Struthio camelus: one gene and its partner. The protein of the gene in region 1 interacts with the protein of each later gene in a pairwise test. Links are inferred from orthologs where the notes say so. Each region holds a gene or a part of one and is shown on either strand. Other genes may lie near its edges.

Region 1 (10,605 bases):
AACAGATGTCTCTGGGCCTTTCCACCAGGAGCAGCTGTGCTCTTCACAAAGGAGACCTCGGCTTTGGAGCGCTCAAATCCACGGGAGGGAAAGGGAGGCACAGCGGCAGATGTGGGGTAAGCTCCAGGGGAGCCGTAACTGGGAGGACGCTGCTCTTTCTGTCTGTACAGGAGACAGAAGAAAAGCACCTCCAGGACTGAGATCACTGCCAGAAACATGTTATCTAACATCAGAGGTACCAGGCTATCAGGCTCTCCCCTACAAACGCAGAAGAAAATCTGTCTTGTGAATACAATGGAGCTCTTCGACAGCAGAATGGGGTCAGTGCGAATGATCCCATCCTTTTGCCCTGCTCACAGGCTGTTACACGCTCAGTTCTGTGGCAGCTTTCCACCCCAAGGATGCCCTGAACCCACCAAGACTGTTAAGCCAAGGAGTAAACAATCCCCACCTTGCAAACTGGCTTTTGGATGGCATTTCTGGAAGCTGCCTCCCCTCCTCATGTGCACAAGGTTTTAGCATGCTCACTCACCCCGGTCTCTGCGGGCAGTGAAAACAGGAGCCAGGCTGACACAGAGATGGTTTCTACGCGTGCCCCACGCAGTTTGGCCCTGTGGCAGCTAAAAGGCTTGGAAAATCAGCAGCTAAATGCACCTCCATCGGGGCAGGGAAAGCACATTCAGAGCAGCACTGAGCAGTCCACTGCTCCACGTCCCAAGAGCTCAGCTCTCGAAGCACGTTAGCACCCCGGGCAGCTCGAGGCTAGCAGTGAGGCCATGCAGAGCACAGGGAAAGCAGCGTGGTTACGGCGAGAGGCCTCCCAGGACGTGTGACATCGTGTCCCAAAACAGAGTTCCCACGTTTGGGATGAGCAGCCCCAGCTCACCCCTCAACCAGATCCCACTGAGAAGGTGACTGGGGACTGCATGCCGGTGCCCGAGGGCACCCAGACCTCCAGCCTCCCCAGCCTTCCCACCCCTCCTGCCAACCCTGACACAGGCCACAGGAGAGCGCTTTGGAGAGTGCTCCAAACACTCGCCTGCCGCCACACTGTGCGTGGGCTCCTCGTGGACTCAGGGAACGTTCAGAACACAATAACCTGAGAGCAGCAGGCTCCTGCACTGGCCGTTTCAGTGCCTCAGCTAAAGAAAGCCCTAAGTATAACCAAGAACTGTGTTTTCTTAACTGTGTTTTCTTGTGTTTTTTACCCCTCTTGCAATTGCTCCTGATCACTACAGTTTAAGCCTCTGCCTGGTAGATTAGAATTGTCGTCTGATCCTTAAACCTTGTCTCCTGGGAAGCAATCTCTGTGTCAGCAGACAGACGCTTGCTGCTCCTTTTCACAGGGAGAGACAAGTCGTTTGACAAAAACTGGTGAATGCTCCAGTCCCTGCCTCATGCTGGCACAAAGGCACTTCTGCAGGGCTGGGGCAGATACTTTCTGTGCCCCAGGACAGCCAGGCTGGCAATGCAACAGCCCCCTCTGCCAGGGCAAGCCAGCCTCCGTGCAAGACCAGATCTCTCAGCCGGGCACACGCAGTTCCCGCCAACACTTACCATCTTCTGCAGCTCATCTGCAGACTCTTGCACTCTTTCACGGTCATTGCTGTCCACAACAAAGATGAGGCCCTGTAAGAGAAGTCAAGGTTGGAGCAGGCAGCTTGTGCCCGGCCCAGCGAGGAGGTAGATGTCAGGGCAGCCTACAGACACCCCATGACAAACAGAGAACAACTCAGCTGCCTGCCAAGCCCTCCTCAGCCCATGCCCATGCCGAACCAGAGCAGCAAGGGTGATTAACCTTGCCCAATTAGTCCTACACCTAGTCCTCTGAAGGACTCTTATCTCAGACACTTCTCTTCCTGCTAAGGAGCTGAGGGAAATATCCAGATACAGTCCTTAGGGACCCATCTGGCTCACTGCACTGGGAGCCAGGAATTATTTCCTGCAGCCACTCACACGCTCAGTTCAGGCAGGATCATGCCAGAAGCTCCAAGGGACCACAGGCTGCTGGGACCCTGCATCGCTACAAGTCATGAAGTTCAACCAAGCACTATCCCAGATTTCCTCTAATCCCAAAGCACATGCCTGCACACGAGGGAACGAGAGTGACTTCAGCCGAGCTCCCTGCTCAGTTCCTCGTTAGGAGGAAGAAAGCCTGCCACCAGCCACTCGAGGACCAGAGGTGACGATGAGCTTCGACCTTTCCCCACGCAATGCCCTCTTTTGCTAAGAGGGGAGCAGGTTCATCCCACCGACCAGAACAGCGTTTGTTGCAGATGTGGGGGCCCATGACCCTTCGCCCCCCCAGCAGCACAGAGGCCTGAAGGGGTCCCCATGCAACAGCCACATCCACCGTGGCCTGCGGCGGCACGTACCTGCGTGTTCTGGAAGTAGTGCCTCCACAGGGGGCGGATTTTGTCCTGGCCACCCACATCCCAGACCGTGAAGCAGATGTTCTTGTACTCCACTGTCTCCACGTTGAACCCTGCAGGGGTGGCAGGAAGGGCAAGAAGTGACAGCACACACACTGTCAATCCTGCTGGCAGCCTCAGGGCTCTCAGACCACAGGCAAGAGACACAGGAGGCAGCAGCCCTAGTCTGATCAAACTCTGTGTTTCTGAGCTGCGGGACAGAGAATCGCACAGGGAGATGATGCAGCATCAGGCATACAACACCCACTGGTGTCTCAGGAGTGCAGGAAGGGAGACCAAGGTGCACTGCTGCATTCATCTGCCACCAATCCCCAGGGAGCATCTCTACCCCCAGCACCGCACTGTTAACACAATTCGGCTGTGCAGAGGGTCTAGGAAACACATGCTGCAGAGCTTCCTGCCCTCAGCCTGCTCACTCTGCAAGCTGAGCATCCCCACGCTCACAAGCATTGCCCAGCAAGTCTATCCTGGCCCTGCCAGCTCTCCAGGACCAGCACTGCATGATTTCACCAGCCAGCCCCTGGGAACATCCCCTTGAAAACCTCAGCAGCCCAGATGTGGCTGATACTCATGTACCAAAAATCACAGAACAGTTGGGGTTGAGAAGAGCCTCTGGAGATCATCTAGTCCAATCCCCAACTCAAGCAGGGTCATGTAGAACACATTGCACAGGATCGTGTCCAGGTGGATTTTGAATATCTCCAAGGATGGAGACTCCACAACCTCTCTGGGCAATCTGTTCCAGTGCTCAGTCACCCTCACAGTGAAGGAGTGTTTTCTTGTGTTCAAGTGGAAATTCCTGTGTTTCAGCTTGCGCCCACTGCCTCTTATCCTGTCACCGGGCACAACTGAGAAGAGTCTGGCACATCTTCTTAACATCTTACCTTCAGCTCTTTAGTCACACGAATAAGACACCACCCTGAGTCTTCTCTTCTCCAGGCTGAAGAGTCCCAGCTCTCTCAGCCTTTCTTAATATGACAGATGCTCCAGTTCCTTCATCATCTCTGTGGTCCTTTGCTGGACATGCTCCAGCAGGTCCATGCCTCTCTGTCCTGAGGAGCCCAGACCTGGACTCGGCACTCCAGGTGTGGCCTCACCAGGGCTGAGCAGAGGGGAAGGATCACCTCCCTCGACCTGCTAGCAACGCTCTGCCTAATGCAACCCAGGAGGCCACTGGCCACCTTTGCTGTAAGAGTATGTTGCTGACCCATGTTCAACTTGTTGTCCCACCAGGACCACCTAGGCCTTCTCTGCAAGGCTGCTCTGCAGCCAGTTGGCTGCAGACCCCAGCTTGTCCTGGTGTCTGGAGTTATTGCTCCCCAGGGGCAGGACTCTGCCCTTCCCTGTGTTGAACTTCATGAGGTTCCTCTCTGCCCATCTCTCCAGCCTCTTGAGGCCCCTCTGGGGTATCAGCCACTCCTCCCCCTTTTGCATTGTCTACAAACTTGCTGAGGGTGCGTTCGGTCCCACCACCCAGGTCATTAACGAAGGTGTTAAAGAGTGTTGGCCCCAGTATGGACCCCTGGGGCGCACCACTCGTGACCGGCCTCCAGGTGGACTTTGTGCTACTCATCATAACCCTCTGAGCCCAGCAGTTTAGCCAGATTTCAGTTGACTTAGTTAGCGTGTCCTTCACCAGTTTGTCTGAGATGTTATGGGAGACAGCGTTGAAAGCCTCCCTAAAGGCTTTCCACCCGTGCGCCGGCAGGAACAACAACCTGTCCTGCCTTTAGAGCTCGGGCAGGCTCTGAAAACAGCACGTGGCGGCCTCCTCGCCAAGCGAAGTGCCTTTGAACCAGACCGAAGCAAGATCACGCTGACGTAAGGGCTTCAGTTCAGCGCTTGCCAACACAAGGCAGATGAGGAGCCGCAAACCAAGCTGCGCGAGCGCAAGGTGGCCCACAAGCCAACCCTGCTCGCCGAGCGAGGCGGCGCGCCCGGCAAGGCTGCAAAGGCGGGAGGCGGCAGGCGCTGCCGAGGCCCCCGGCCTCCGCGCGGTAGGGCCGCTCGACCGCGCCGGGCCAGGACCACCCTCCCAGCCGGCCGGCAGCCCCCGGCACGCGGACGGGGCACCGGGCCGGCGACGCCAGCCGCGTCCAGGGCCGGGGGCGGCCGGGGGCGGCCCGGCGGCGGCCACTCACCGATGGTGGGGATGGTGGTGACGATCTCGCCCAGCTTCAGCTTGTAGAGGATGGTGGTCTTGCCGGCGGCGTCCAGCCCCACTGCAACAGAGAGGCGGCGGTCACCGGTGCCCCCAGGCCCGGCCCCGGCCCGCCGCCCGCCCCCGCCGCTCACCCATGAGGATCCGCATCTGCTTCTTGCCGAAGATGCGGGAGAAGATGGCGGACACCGTGAGGCCCATGGCGGCGGCGGCGGCGGCGGCGGCGGCGGGAGGGGAGGGACGCGACGGCCCCGCTGCCTCGGCGCTCCGCCGCGCCGCGCCACGCCCCCTCGCCGCCAGGCCCCGCCCCCTCCCCGCCAGACCCCGCCCCCTCCCCGCCCTCACTTAGCTAGACCCCGCCCCCTCTTAGCCAGGCCCCGCCCGCTCCCTGCGCCCCCGCGCCGCCCGGGCCCGCCTCCTGCCCCTCGGGCCCGCCCCCCCGGCCGCCACGCCCCCTTGGACGAAGCCCCGCCCCCTCGGCCTCATCCCTGCCTTACGGCGCCCCGCCGGAGAAGCCCCGCCCCCGGGGTTATTTAGGCCCGCCCCTCGCCGTGACACGCCTCCATGGGCCTCGCCCCTTCCCTCTGACGCGCGCGCGCGCGCGCACCCCCCCCCCGCTCCCGTCCCCACGGAAGCCCCGCCCACTTCCGCCCCCGCCCCTGCTGCCGATGGCGTATTGGCCCCCCCGGGGGGCGGGGCTGCGCCTGCGCATTGAAGCCCATTGGCTCCGCGGGCGGCGCTCGCGGCGCGTCTGTGGCGTGTCGCCCCCATGTGCGCATGCCCCGGGGGAGGGGGGGGGGAGGGGGAATCTCACCCCGGCGGATTGTGACGGGCGCCCCGCCAGGCGCCGCCCTCGCGCCTCGGTGCGGTTCGCGCCTGCGCAGTCCGATCTCCCGGGAGGGGGTGGAGGAGGCGGGGGGGGAAAAAAAACGGCGGTCTGGCGCGTGCGCACTGAGCCGCGGCGGGCGGCGGGGGGGGGGGCTCCGCGCCTGCGCAGTGGAGGCTGCGACCCGCCGGCCTGCAGGTGAGGCCCGGGCGGCGGCGGCGGCGCGGGCCGGGAGCGGGAGGGGGGGTTTGGGGACGCCCCCGGCGGCCCGTCGCTGCCCTCTCTCCTGCCCCGATGCCTCCCCCAGCCCCGGCGGCCCGGGAGAGGCCCCCTTGGTAGGGCTCCGGGCTGGCGGTGCGCGGCTGGGCCCTCCCCCCCCCCCCCGGTGGGGCCCGGTGACAGGACGAGAGGCAGCGGGCCCCGGCTGAAGCCCAGGAAGCTCTGTCTGAGCATGAGGAAAAACTTCTTCAGCGCGAGGGTGACAGAGCACCGGCACAGGTTGCCCAGAGCGGTTGTGGAGCCTCCCTCCTTGGAGATGTTCCAAAACCCACCTGGACGCGATCCTGGGCAACGTGCTCTCGGTGACCCTGCTTGAGCAGGGGGTTGGACCAGCCGGTCTCCAGAGGTCCTTGCCCACCTCAACCCTTCTGCGGCCTAACAGCAGCCCAGTATGTTTCTTAGGCTGTTCTGTTACAGGGTCATTAACTGGTGTCCCAGGGGGAGTCCAGCATGCTGGTCCTGATGAGCAACCTGCTCCTGTTAATCATAAATATGTCTTTGCTCTTTGTTTAGCCTGTGCACTGGTTTTCTCCTTCTCGTTTCAGATCGCACAGGGCATCATGGAGAAGTTTGGCATGAACTTCGGAGGTGGCCCAAGTAAAAAAGATCTTCTAGAAACTATTGAATCTCAGAAAAAGCAGCTTCTTCAGTACCAGGCTCGGCTGAAGGATGTTGTCAGAGCCTACAAGAGCTTGCTCAAAGAAAAGGAGGCCTTGGAAGCTAGCTTGAAAGTATTGTCCGTGTCTCATGAGGCAGATGTTGGCTTGAGTGGAGCTCACCCTGCGTCTGTGGCAAGCTCCAGCTCTTCCTTTGCCGATTCTGCTGATGACAGGAGTTCTGTTCACAGTGAGGATAGCGTGGGGACAGCCACCAGTGCAGACACGGCTGCCAGTCTGGCCAGTACCAAAGCTGAACCAGGAGCTGAGGATGATAAGCCTGCGGCCACTGCCTCCTCTCTTAAATCAGAGGAGACAAGCGGTTCAGAGAGCGGCATCAGCACAAACAGCGGAGATGTGCCATCATCTGCTGGTGAGGCTGATAAAAGAGTGCTCCAGCTGAAGACTCAGCTGGCCACCTTGACCAGTGCTCTGTCCACAGTCACACAGGAGAAATCTCGCATGGAAGCTTCATACCAAGCAGACAAGAAGAAGATGAAACAAGACCTGGATGATGCCGTTAAGAAAGCAGAGGATGAGAGGGACAAGTTGGAGACCGAGCTGAAGTCTGTCCAGGAACAGTTAGCAGAGACCAAAGCCCGTCTGATCACACAGCAGCATGACCGAGCCCAAGAACAGGGTGACCACGCTGTTATGCTGCGAGAGCTGCAGAAGCTGCTCCAGACTGAGAGGACTTCACGCCAGGACGTAGAGCTAAAGCTAGAGGAGACCAGGGAGCTGTTGGCTGGGAGGGTATGCCTGGCTGACCGTGCGGAGGGGTATGAACTGCAGATCAAGCAGCTGAGCCAGGAGGTAGAAGACCTGAAAAAAGAGTTGCAAACTGTGCAGGAAGAGAGCAACAAACCAGACCCACGGATACAGGATCTGCAGGAGGAGATGGCCAGTCTCAAGAATCACTTCCAAGTGCAGCTATTGCAAGAGATGAGAAAGGTAATTCCCTGGCTGTGTGCTTGAGCAGCTTACTCTGCGGGACATAGCAGCAGCAGTCAGGGGGCAGGGTTTGACTGGAGTGGCGGCACAATTTCCCTTCCCTGTCCAAGAAGTTTGAAATAAGTAAGAACATCATGGCTTTATTTGATGAGACGGTATTCCCTGAGGAAAATAAAGGCTGTTTGTGGTTCAGTGTGTAAGTCATACTATGCAGGGGCTAATGACCATGGGCGTTGGGAGCAGCCTTTATGAGGTGCTTGGGCTGTGGCTATCCTCTAGAGCGTCATTAGGTTCTGAACACGTTATCATCTGGTGTGATAGTGGCTGGGATGGGAGGAGAGACCTTTGCTTTGACTCACTGTGGCAATGAATGTGCTCTTGTCCTTGTAAAGTATTTAAGGGCAATGCAAGGTACAACTACTGTAGCTCATAAAAGGAAATAACTTCTAATGCAATGTTCTGTAAATCGGTAGGACTTTCCCCGGATGAGTGTGGAGATAATTGTGAAATAAGGCCTCTCATGCCTTCGTCTTCAGGGCCTGCACTACTTGCTTGTTGAAGTCATGAAACCATCTTTCCCTTTTCCTATTCTACAGCATGGCAGATGAGAGATTTCTGTGAATTTCACAGCTGCTGTGACAAAAGCTATCAAACTGCAGAGGTTCTTGTCTGATCCATTGTGAAAGATGCTGTGCAGCTAAAGGTGACAGCCCATCCGTGCTGATGGGAACAACATAAACTGGTTTGGCTAGCGTAAGCCCAGGGAGCTTCGTGGCCTGTGCTATTGAAGGGCCTGGGGTTACTTTTCAGTGAAGTTTGAAGAGCTCTGGGGAAAGAAGAAAGGTAAATATGAGAAAAAGGCTCTTGCCTGCATGCATGTGGGGAGAGAAAAGAGCTAGAACAAGGGATGTGATGTAAAAGAGGAACCTGTGTAACTCTGTGGGTTGTGGGGCAACGTGCTCAGGAGATGGCACCAGTAACTGAATTTGCAGCCGGAAGCACTCCAGAATGGTATCCTCCTCATCCCTCGGCGTGGAACACGTTTTCTCCTTTCTAATCTGAAGGGTCTAATTAGGGACTAGGCTGATTTCACGCTATTTGCCTCTTTTTGGACGGTATCTGCAACACGTTCTCTGACAGAGGTGACAATGATCTGACCCCAGTTATGCTTTAATTCGTGATGGTCAGTCAAGTGCTGCCATTCAAATTTTCTATTAGACAGTTGGCTCTCGATAGCCATAAAAACTGTGAGCACCAGGTGTTTGTTGTAGTTACTCAGGAACCACTGAATTATGTTAATACCAGTGCAACAAAGCATAGCATTTAAATAAATTGTAGTTTGAGATATGAGAGTTTTAAAGCACGTGCATGTTTTTAAACATCCTATGTCAGACTGTGACATGAATTTGCTTTTTCCTACCCCCCACCAACCTGTAGCAATACAGATAACACTGCTGACAGGAATTCTGTTGGAGGACTGGGAGTAAAAACAAAAATGCCTTTGGTTTCTTTTATCCTTGAATCTCCCTTTTCAATACGGGCAAGTCAGCGTAGTGGCTTGTACAGGATTTTAGGGGAAAGGATGGCTCAGCCCTTGCCTGGAATTCATCAGAGCAGAATTAAGCCCCTGGGTAAACTGCAGACCTCCTGCAGAGAGTGTTGAGGTAATCTAACCCTCCCGTGTCTCTTTGCTCTCAGACTGCACAGGCAGAGGAGCAGCTCCGCCAGCACGCCCAGATGGAGGAGCGGCGAGTGGCTAGTTTGGAGGGCCAGGTCTCCGAAGTGTCCGAACTACTTGGCACTTACGAAAAAGCCAAGCAGAAAGACCAAATGGTCATTCAGAAACTGAAGGACCGCATTGTACAGTTGGACTTGGAGAACAAAACCCTAGCCATTGCTGCGTCCAGCCGCTCTCCTGCTGATATTCATCTAGAAGAAAGCAACCTTGATGTGAATGTGCTAAAGGATAAAATGGAGAAGCTGAAGAAGCTATTGCAGGCAGCAGCTAAGAAGAGTCAGCCTGCTCTGGACTTCGAGAAGCTGTGTGAGCTGGAGCTGCCGAAGGGCACTGAGACTGGGGATGGCGAGAAGGCAACTGCTTTGTACTATCAGCAGGAGCTAAAGCAGCTGAAGGAAGAATTTGAAAGGTACAAGATGAGGGCACAAGTGGTCCTCAAGAACAAGTCAGCCAAAGATGGCAATCTGGCTAAAGAACTGGAGGAAGCTCAAGAGCAGCTGGCTGATCTGAAAGAGAAATATGTTGTACTTCGACTGTCCTCTGAGGAAATGGAGAAGCAGCACCAGCAAGATATGGAAGCCAAGAGGCAAGAGCTGTCCCAGCTGCAGCAAATTCACAGGCAGGAATTAGAGCGATGCCAGCTGGACTACAGGGAACGGACACTGAAACTGGAGGAAGAAATGCACAAACAGCGGGACCGAGCACTGGCTGTGCTGGCAGAAAAGGACCAAGAACTGGAGCAGCTGAGATCTGTCACGTTGTCTTATGGGCTTCAAGGATCCAAAAACTACCTAGCATCAGGGACTGATGTTACCAGCAATGACTCATCAGGTAACGATTCTTCAGAGAATCTCCCCCAGGCTCTTCATCTCGCTGCCACCAGTGAGCCCACCTTCTTCTTGTATGCAGAGCAGCTGGCTCGCAAAGAGGTGGAAATTGTAGCGCTGAGGAAGCAGAAGCACAAGCTGGAAATGGAAGTTCACCAGCTCCAGGAGAAGATCCTGGTTGAGGAGGAGAAGCACCGGGAAGAGGTGTCCGTGCTTCAAAATGAAATCCAGAAGAATTTCAGAGATAAGAGCAGAGAGGGAGCCAACTTGGAATACCTCAAGAACATTGTCTATAGATTTTTAACACTGCCAGATTCTCTTGGTCGCCAACAGACTCTAACTGCCATATTGACTATTCTGCATTTCAGCCCAGAAGAAAAGCAAGCTATTACAAAACAGTCAGCTTACAGTAGCTGGTGGCTTTCTGGGAAGAGATGAGATGGTAGTTTTTACCCATAACAGTTTTTCTATAACATGTTTCTGGTTATTATCTAAAGCCAAATCATTTGTGGGATAAGCTCTTTCCAATCAGGTGCAATGGAGCAGAGAGCTTTCAGGAAAGAATTGGGCTTAAACTGGTGCTACTAGCACTAATCTAAAGTAGAATTGTTCCAACTATTCCAGTAGGATCACAGTGCTCTCGGGTGTGAGATTTCGCTCTAAGTGGGAACTTGATTTAAAAACAATTTTTTTGGAAGATACTGATGCTTTTTAAAATCAACTTTTAAAAAATCT
Region 2 (10,283 bases), about 210 Mb from region 1:
TTCATACCTCTTTCTCATATTACTCTCTTACCCCAACACTAATTGAAGTGGATGGGGGAAGAGTCTATTGGACCTTAAGCAACGGACCCAGGGCAGCCTATAGAAAAAAGGTGTGTCACAGCCTATGTAGAGGTATGCTTTTTCTAACAGCTCCTGATTATATTAGAAAATCTGTACTGAAGAGCTCCATTTTTTTAATTTAATCTTTACTAGATCATTGCCACACTCGTTAAATCACGTTTACCTTGTTACAACTCAATTTTCAGCAGAGACTAGAGAGAATAAAAGCAGTATAACATCTCTCTGGTTGACAAGAATAATTTTCTTCTTCGAATTCCTAAGGAATAAGTCTATTTTTTTTTTTTTTGTAAGTGAAATTCTGTATATTTCTCTCCTCCTCGTTCCCAATATCATCCCAGATTACTCTACGTCTGCTTTTAAATCATGCTTGGTGAGACAAATTACGGTCAAAATGGAAAGTTATAAGCACTGGAAAAGTGAAGCTCAGAATGAAAGCGTTTGTGTGTTCCTTCATGACAGGGATCATTACCATTGCAGCTATATTTTTCATTATCCAGCACAAAAAAGAAAGAAGAAAATAAGTAGTTTTAAAGTATGCTGCCATAATCCTACTAATAAAAATAAGAATCACATAATCGCTATTATATTAGCAAGAAAAAGAAACAAATCAGTCCTGGGATTTACGACTGGATAAACTGAGTATGTAAATTAAAGCTTGTATGCTGTTAATGCCACAGCCAGAGAAAAGCATGTTGAGAAAAGTTGCGAGATGAGATGTAATTATGTGAAACGTTATCAGAGTGCCAATAACTGAACTGACAATGTCGTTTTCCTGTGTCTGCATGGCAGTCACTCATGAACTGTCACTTAATACTGCCTGTTCCAGCAGGATTTGATTATAACAACTGCCAGAGACACGTAAACTCGTCCTTGACTGAGGGTGATTCTACACCATTGCTTAGGCTTCTCAGGCAAGTACCCCATCACAATTAACTAGGAGTATGGGCAAACATGTTTGTCACAATGAAGTAAGTTCGGGTTAAGATTCCAAGCGAAATAGCTATTCCAGGCTGCCACGACATGTGTTTGAACCCGTGGTAAACGCCTGCAAGTTAGCAGTTACTGCTTAGAAATCCAAATTCTAATTTATCCTCAAGTAACTTGTTTCTGCAGCCATTCTCCAGATTTCTTTCCTAGACCTTCTATCAACTTTAACATCAATAATTTTTAAGATCACCAGGACTTTCTGCTGTTCGTTGATTTCTGTTTATCTAATTTGCAAGAACACAAAGACTTCAACAGGAACAAAAACATTCTACTAACGACCTTCAATAACTTATTTTAAACAGTGTTTCTTATTTCCTTTAATTTGACCTTAGTACTAAGAGAACGTGGAACAGGAAGACGCATCAACAGCTATTTTAAGTTTTAATACTTACTTATGGTGACTACTGCTGTGGCGGTGATGATGGTGGTGATGGTGGTGGTGTTTTGAATGATGCTGGTCCTTCTCAGTAAGAGATGAGGATGAGGAGTTAGAATGTGACGATCCTAGGCTCTTCCTCTGTTCTTTTGTCTTCTGTAGTACTCTCTTGTAGGACAGTGTGCAGAGCCAACACAGTAACTTTCCATCAACCTTTTGGGAAATAATTCACAATTTTGTTTCCAAGTATACTTGCACTAGAAAGATGTACCTTAGTATTTGCCAGAAAATCTTTTTATCTGTTTGTTATCTGTAAGAAAAATCTAGACCTCTCTTTGGCATGAAACAGCAATAGCATATCCTCAAATATATGCATGGTATTATTTAATATAGCGAATCTCTTCTCATTTCTTTTTGGCATTTAAAGTTATGCTACAAGACAGTTTTAGCAAATATTTGTTATTGCTAATAATAACAGACCCACTCTGTATCATAAAAGTGAGAATGACTTTTTTAAGGGGTAAATCATTTTTGGTTTAGACACCATCTATGCTCTCAACCCATCGTATTCCAGAGCAGAATCAAGATGTCCAGTCAATGTATTACTTGTACCGAGTAAATTCTTCTGTAAAAACAGCATTATTCTTGAGTTCAGGCAAGAGGTTTATGAGGTGATTTCCTCAGCACCTTCTGGAATGAGAAAGTGGCACTCACCAAAGCTATTTAAGAAAGTAGAATACAAACAGCTGCTCAGAGCAGTCTACCTCTCTCTGGTGCTACACTTTTAAGACAAGGCAGGCAGATCGGAAGTGGTGAACTGACAGATTCAAGTTTATGACACACATAGGATACGACGGATGGGGAAAAAAACCCAAAGCACCAAGAACAACTCAGCTACTTAACCTCTGTTCATCAAATACTACTGTCAGCTTACTCTTAAGCTTATTAAAAAAAGAACGATTCACTCTAAAATAAGTTAGCCCAATAGCTAACGTAATGATTCTAACTTGTGGAATTTAATGCAAATACTGAAAAGCACAACACAATGACTTTAACCTGATATTAGTGAACTTCAGATACCCTCCTGTTAATCTTCCTCTTATGAAGTAGAAGTGTCTTCGATTGTCAGCCTAAGCCATTACAGATCTGGAGCAAAACATACCTTCCTTCTTCCTTCCTCTTTTCGATCAAAAGCGCATTGCTGTTTGCACTGTTCGCATGTCTGAGGTGGGCCATACTTCTTTTCTGAGTTTGTGCAACGCTGACATTTTGTGCCGATAAATGCTGCAATAATATTACAATACTGACAAGGCTTGGGCTGAAAAACAGGTAAGTGGAACAAAAGTTAATATATTTACGGTTTCCATAATGAGCTAGTGCAGATACTTCAAATCACACAACAATACTTCTAAACTACTAGGGCTTCATACGATCCATCTCTCAAAATCCTTTTTCTTTACTGGTTCTACCTTCAACACTAACTTTTTCCCCTAAGGTAGTGGTCCTTCAACTGTCAAAGAAACTCTGGGCCTTCTACGAACACCTGAGATTCTATTCATTGAAGAACACACATACATTTTGACTGCTCATTTTTCCCTCCCTCCCTTTTTTTAATATGACAGCATCTTCTCCTCTCTTTTACAGCATTACTAAAGCAGCTACCTAAATAAAATTTAAATAAGTAATCAAGCCATTTTTAGGCCCCAGTTTCCAAACTACTTGAATTACTCGGGGATTTGAGCACCCTATGGCTCCAAGATTAGCATCTCTGTCCCTGCAGCTCTGTAAGAAACTTAACAAACCTTCAGATACCTTTAGATCAGATTATCAGCTTTTATATCATAGAGTAATACAAAACTAGAAGATAGTAGTTTTCTGGCAGTTTTCTTTAGTCAGAAATGGCTGATTATCTTCAATGCAGTTTCCTTTTTTAATTAACTGTTGCTAAAAATGTTGTTGGCTCTGTATTATATTTCATTGTACAATATTTTAAGACTTTCAAAGAACATTCTTTTTGTTCCACTTTACATTTACAAAATGCCTGACTATATACCAACATCTGTCATGTTTCTCCAATAAGCTGAATTTCATGTAATATGGTGTATGCTAAGCACATAGAAGTCAAGCACTTCTGTTTCACGAAGATTATCTCAACACCTTTTATAAACTAATACCTGCAGCACACTAAGATGCAATGCAGAATTTGTGTATTCATATATGAAAAAGTTCTCTAACAGAAGTGAAGCTGCAATTAAAGCTGAGAAAACGCAAAATAACATTAATACAAATAATACTCATGAACCTTTAATACTTAACACCTTAATACGGTTAACAAGCCTCTAAAAATTTTAATACTCACATCATATAAAAAAAATCATACAGCTTTTCACATTTAACCACTCATTAAAAACACATCTAAACATCTTTCTGATGTCAAATGTTTGCTTACGAGAATATGCAAAGAATTATTTTACATGCATAAAGTGAGATAACATTCTTTTTGCTATGAATAGCTGTATTGCAGTTATTCATAACTGTTACACTATATATAATCACAATGAATTTTATTTTGAAAAAAGGAACTGTAAGCGAGGAAGGAATTCAAGAGCTGGCAATAATCTTCATCACTTTTCCAAAATCTATTTTTCTTTGTCAAAGGAAAATAAGAAATTTAATTCCTAAAAGATTTTTTCTTTTAGAATGTGAACGAACCTGAGTTCAGTTTTCAGAATTAAGAGCCTACTCACCGTTCCAAACTGCTTCACGTTTTGGGCACATTTCTTGCATATTGTATTAGTTTTGCTAAAGATAAAATTGCATAATGTTGAATTCAGTGACATACATGGACCTGGAAATTCTTTCCCATGCAATTATTAAAAAACACACATGCAAATATACGCTATAGTAAATAGTGAATGATAAGCAGACAAAGTGACCTGCCATTGTACTGTGTTTACACGACACACTTGGGTCACTAGAGCAGACAGGTTATTTTACTGTGGTTCAATGGTCTTCCAAGAGTTTAATATTTTCCCCTCTCTCTGTGAATTTCTGTTGTTACAAACAGTTATGACTGCAGAAACAGCTGTTCTTTCTGCAGACACACTGATAACCCAAGGCACTAGAACAGCACTGTGCAGTACGCTTTCCAACGACTGAATTACTTTCATACCTCTCTTGTTGAAATTCCGATCGGCAGTAAGTGCATTTTACAATGGGATGTGCGATGCGACATTCCTAAAAAGAAAGAGAGTGGCGGCTGCGTAAGTAAAAACACACGCAACCAAATGAGTGCCCTCACTTGACCTTCCACCTTTCGCACTAGAAGCGGCTCGCACAGCTCACTACACACGCCGCTGCTTGAAAAGCGCTCCGCCAGGCTGGCGGGTGCCTCCCTTCACCAGACCTGTCTCACCGACCGGGGTAAACAGCAAAAACATCCTCCGCAGGAAACAGAGGGCTGCCAGTGCCAAAACCCCAAACCCGGCCCTCGTAAAGGGGCGGCTTTCCTGAGGCGCCTCCCGGGGGCCAGGCTGCGCGCCGCGCGCGGGGAGGCACCGTCAGCCGCGGGGCGACCGTCCCTCAGCCGCGGAGCGCTCCCGCCGCGCGCGGGGAGGCACCGTCAGCCGCGGAGCGACCGTCCCTCAGCCGCGGAGCGCTCCCGCCGCGCGCGGGGAGGCACCGTCAGCCGCGGGGCGACCGTCCCTCAGCCGCGGAGCGCTCCCGCCGCGCGCGGGGAGGCACCGTCAGCCGCGGAGCGCTCCCGCCGCGCGCGGGGAGGCACCGTCAGCCGCGGGGCGACCGTCCCTCAGCCGCGGAGCGCTCCCGCCGCGCGCGGGGAGGCACCGTCAGCCGCGGAGCGACCGTCCCTCAGCCGCGGAGCGCTCCCGCCGCGCGCGGGGAGCCGCCGCCCGCCCCGTGCAGCCCAGCCCCGCCGCGAGCGGAGCAGCGCGGCGCTCCAAGCGGGCCCGGTCAGCCCCTGCTCAGCCCCGGCGGCGGCCGGCGCTGTCCCGCTAGCCGCCCCTCAGCGCCCCTGCCCAGCCCGCCGCTGCCGGGCGCAGCGCTCGCCGCACCTTGCAGAGCTGCTGGCCCTGGGAGAGCTCCTCGAAGGGGTAGCGCTGGTTGCACTTGGTGCAGGCATAGAGAGCCGGGGCGGCCGCCGCTGCCGCCGCCGCCATCCGCGCCGCGGCCGGCAGGGCGGACACGGGCGGGCCGAGGGAGGGGAAGAGGGAGGTGCCGGGGCGAGGGCCGGAGCGGCCGCCTGGGCCGCCGCCAAGGAGCCGCCCGCGCTCCCCCCCTCCCCCCCCCCCGCCGCCGCCGCCGCGCCGCAGGAGCGCGCCCGCCGCCGCGCCGCGCCCGCGCCGCCCTAGGCCCCGCGCAGAGCCCGCGCCGCGGAGCCGCGTCCCCCTTGTGTCGGTGTCGGCATCGGCGTCACCCTGCACCCCCGCCCTTCCCTCCACCCCGGGCTCGGGCTCCCGCGGCAGCCAATCACCGCCTCGCGCCAAACCTGCCTTCAAAACTCGCCGCCCAATGGCCGCCCCCGCGGCCCTCGCCGCGGCCAATCCGACCGCTCTTGCACCGCCCTGCGCTTGCCGCTGATTGGGTGGCCTCGTGGGCGCCGCGCTGATTCGACCGCTCTGGGCGAGTTCGGCTTCCCCATTGGCTCCAGCTCAGGGGCTCATTTTGACAAAGACCATCCTCTTCCGTTCTCTGCCCTCTGCGCGTGCGCAGGAAGCGCCCTGCGCGGCACACGAATCCCGCGGTCGCTCGCTCCTCCCCAAGTTGTCCCCTTCTATTGGTTAAGGAATGGCTTTTTTTCCTCTTTATTGGATAGAGAGCATGTCACTCAAACCTCAGTTTATGACGTAAACGCGTAACTGTCCAGGGTGGGGCTTACCCCTGCTCCGCCTTTCTCATTGGCAGGCCGAGCCGCCAGTCAAGCGGCACGTTCGGGCGCGGGAGGCGTCGCTGTGGGGCCGGGCGGAGCGGCGGAGGCTGCACGGGTCTTGTGGCCTTAAAGGGCTATGCGGTAGCGCGGGCGGCCCGCAGGGGACATGGCGGCGGCGGCGGCGGGGGGTGACCATCAGCGCACGGTGAGGCTCGGCGGGTGTGGCGGGCGACGGTGAGGGTGGGGGGCCTGGCTGGTGGGGGCGCCTTGGGGCCGGCCCCGGGGGCTGCCCGGCCCTTCGAGCCCGCTCGGCCGCGCCGGACCGGGCCGGTTTTACCGGCCGCTCGTGGCGGGGCCCTGGCAGCCCCCGGGGGAAGAGCCGCGGGCGGGAACGGGCCCGCGGGCCTCTGGCCGGCAGCCTGGCTGAAATGGCGCCGTTTCACCCGAATTACGGTACGAGCGGCCGCAGGGTTTCGGCTAGAAGCGAGTAAAAGGGCGGCGAATCGGTCCCGCGCCGGTGCGACAAGGCTATCTGGTGGTGTCGGCTGGCGGGGCGTGCTCTTCGGTGAGCGCGGGGCGAACCGCGATTAGGCGGCGGGGAGTTATAGTTGCTCAGGGTCAAGCCTCGAGTTCAGGCTCAGAGCTTCAGGAGCGAAGTGGACTGTGGAAACTGTCTTTTAAGTCCTGTGTATATACATCAAAAAATCATAGTATGATTCTGTACCCATCTCTTATAAGAGGATCAGGAAAGGGAAAAAATACTCTGCTATTTAAAAGCGGCCTTTTCCCTGGAGGAGCATTCAAAGAGTAGATTTGTAAGTGAATGCATGGGAATGAAACTTGGTAATACAGTCTGTTTCCAGAACCAGTTCTGGGGACATGACTTTGGAAACACCTATTTCAAAATGTGATGAGACTCAGCTCGGCACTAAAATTCCATGATGTTTGATCATGCACTTATGTTTTAATTGTAACCGGTTGCAAGCGGTTCCTTTTGAGAGCTGGTAGTGTGTCTACTGCATGCTCTCCAAACCTTAGCCTAAACCTCAATTTAGTTTTGGTAAGTAACCACATCCTTAGGTATGTATATAAGAACCTGGCTAATGCAGAAGTAATGCAGAGGTAAGTAGAAGCAAGGCACTAGAAATTACTCTTTATGCTCTTCTTGAGGTGCAGTGCTTAGAGAAGAAATGAGACTAGTGTCTCTGCTTTGTGAAAAGCAGTATGAAGAAACTGAGGCTTGACTAGAGTTAGCATAGTTGAGCTTGCTGAACTGGGTGGAGGCTGCCTGGAAGCAACTAGAGACCATGGAACAGAAGTTTCAATTTGGGTTTCTCATCTGACATCTCGGTCTGATGTTTGTAGCTCTCCGAAGTTGGATCCTTTTGCAAGTAGCAGTGTCTTATGAGTAAGCAACTTGGAAGTGCAGCGATGGTGCAAAAAGATGCAGCATGGTGGTAGGAAACGTATTTCTTGTGAGCATTCTTGATTTGGGGTCTCAGTAGTATCAGCTGCTTGATAAAACTAGCCCAGCTCAGGGTTTTCGGTTGTTCTTCTCTTTCTCCTTCTCCTCCTGCAGTGTGGTTCCGGGATGTACACCTGCAGTATTAAGAGAGGTGACAGAGTGTTGTGAGGGTTCCTATATCCTTCCTGACTAGTATTTTTCTAGGATGCATTGAGAAGGATGTCAGAAAATGGGTTTTAGCCTCAAGTTAATGAACAGTAGTAAAACAAAGCTTTTAGGAAAAAAATTTTCCACTGAATATTTTTCATATCTGCTCACGCAGAAGGTAAACAGTGAAGACCCAAAAAAGAAGAAAAGCAGACTTCTCACTTTATTAAAATCAGTATGAAGTTCAGACTTTTACCACACCCTACAGCAGAAAATAATAATTAAAAAAAAAAAACTGTCTCATGCTAACATTTTTTCTTTTTTGCTGTAAGGGCTTGACCAAGTTTTTTTTTTTTTTTTTTTTAAGCTAGAGATCTTGTTTAAATTGAGAATGTTCCTAACTCAGTTGTGTATCATTCGGGCACAGACAGCACTTAAGTTAGTTTTTGAGTGGCAGGGTCTATTCCACCCTCCCCTTCCCCAATAATGAGGGAAGATGGCAGACTAGATCTTGAGAGATTCTCTCCCAAGTGGCTGTTCTGAAATCTTCAGTAACTGCATAATTTTCACCCATTTCTGCTCTTTTTTTTTTTTTTTAATCAAACATGAGGACTACAGGATGTTATTGAAAGCATCATCCAGCTTCAGACGATTACCTTTTAAAATATTTTCATAGAATATATATACACATATGTATATATATGTATGTATAAGAACTTGTAAAATAGCACCTTCTCTGACTTATTCCCTTTGTCCAGTGCCAAACTGCTAGTACCAATGGCACCATCTTGGTGCCTTTATGCTTTCTTGTTGCAGTTATTGCCTGACAGAACCTTCCTGTGTTTTTCTGCTGCTTTGGTTCTATAGTTTGTATATAAATCATTGCTATTTTTACTCTCCCCACATCTAGTCAAATTATGGTGAGGAGGGAAAAAAAAACAAAACATCAGGTACTTTTTTTCCCTCCCTGAGATCATTTAGTATGGACATGCTGTTTCAGGGAAATCTTGAGTGTGATAGGACTCTAAAGCATTTGGTATAATAAGATTCATAGTTGTCTGGATGGTTGTTCATGGCTGGTGTGCCATACTATCCTTTCCATCGAAAAGTGCTTGATTTGAAAAGTGTACTTCTGCCATTAGTTGCTAGTTCCTATGTTAAAACTTTTCTGATGTTCTGGACCTTTGCATTTAGTCTTGGGTAGCTTTAAGAGGTCACCGTTTCCTAAGGTTAATATACCTTAGTATATTAAGCTATTATTAGTCTGCATCTTAAATATACTTTCTTGTGTACTTGAGCAGACAGCCGATATGAAATGACTGCACAAATAAATTTTGGAAGATGATGTCCTCAGATATGTAAAGGTTAAAATATGTTCAGTTCTCCACCATAGCATAATACTGTTGCACTTAGCTGCTGTGGGACTGCTAAGCTGCTTTGCTTGTTGTTATGAGGCTTCTGTGTGGTTTAAGGATGGAAAGAAGATAGAGTATCGAAAAGAGGGGATAAGGTGTAGTCATCAGATATGGCCTGCTCATAATTAAGAACAAAGAGTTACCTGATTGTCACACTTTTGTTTCCTCTGTTTCAGGATTTTCCCAAAATATGCGCAATATGGTGATCCCCATGAGAATTTCCAAGAGCAGAAAACTGACTTAAAAATAATTTTTAATGACTTGGGAGAACGGGGAGGAGGAGAAGAGCAGGGAATTACATTGCAATCTGAAATTTGTGGTGTTGAGTTCCTTGCTGCCGTTTCATAAGCTTTCTCAAACTTTTCAGCTCAGGTGTGTTTAGAAGTCATTTTTATATGTGAAACGGAATATAAAATGGTCTTGTGCTCAATTGTGTACAGAAAATATACTTGTTAATGTGATTCTTTAGACAATCATTCCTTCTTTCAGTCTAAACGATAATATGGATATTACTTCAGCATGAATTTTTAAGTATTTATTTCAAGCATATGTCTGCAATGAGTATTATAGTATTCAAAGATAAATTAATTTTAATGCGTAATTTTAATGCATAATGTATTCAAGTGGTATTTTGGAGAAATGCAACTTTGCAACTTGATGTTTAAGTATGCTAGCTTTTCCTTTCAGTTAGTCCGTTATTGCCTAAGTAGGTGTCCCTTAAGCCAGTGAAGAAAGCAATTTTTTTTTTAGTGTAATTATTTTTAGTTCTGCACAGACAAAACTTTACAGCTGAAAAATGAAGACATCTAGGAGAGTTCAGATGTCTGACAGCCCTACTTTGATTTAAAACCAATGCACCTTTTCTTCCACTGGCTCATGGGATAGCTTCTTGTGATTCGACAATAGATAAAACTACTTTCTGCC

The links.
Region 2: the proteins of GCC1 (region 1) and CEP57 interact in binary tests that used the Homo sapiens proteins (3 or more experiments, as listed by UniProt). The two-hybrid records come from large-scale screens. The link is inferred for Struthio camelus from reciprocal best matches to the Homo sapiens genes GCC1 and CEP57.

What each region holds. Positions count from the first base shown.
Region 1 is NC_090942.1:1,066,677-1,077,281, reverse strand, and holds the start of GCC1 (GRIP and coiled-coil domain-containing protein 1), read left to right. Parts: upstream 1-5,392; 5' UTR 5,393-5,617; intron 5,618-5,731; exon of another isoform or gene 5,732-5,754; intron 5,755-5,960; exon of another isoform or gene 5,961-6,087; intron 6,088-6,243; 5' UTR 6,244-6,258; coding exon 6,259-7,305; intron 7,306-9,003; coding exon 9,004-10,308; 3' UTR 10,309-10,605. Other genes in the region: ARF5 (ADP-ribosylation factor 5), read right to left, coding at 1,558-1,629, 2,376-2,485, 4,574-4,654, 4,728-4,794. UniProt on the Homo sapiens protein: Probably involved in maintaining Golgi structure.
Region 2 is NC_090942.1:211,616,233-211,626,515, reverse strand, and holds the start of CEP57 (centrosomal protein of 57 kDa), read left to right. Parts: upstream 1-6,169; 5' UTR 6,170-6,498; coding exon 6,499-6,537; intron 6,538-10,283. Other genes in the region: protein FAM76B, read right to left, coding at 1,461-1,657, 2,607-2,762, 4,192-4,246, 4,617-4,681, 5,518-5,622. UniProt on the Homo sapiens protein: Centrosomal protein which may be required for microtubule attachment to centrosomes. May act by forming ring-like structures around microtubules. Mediates nuclear translocation and mitogenic activity of the internalized growth factor FGF2, but that of FGF1.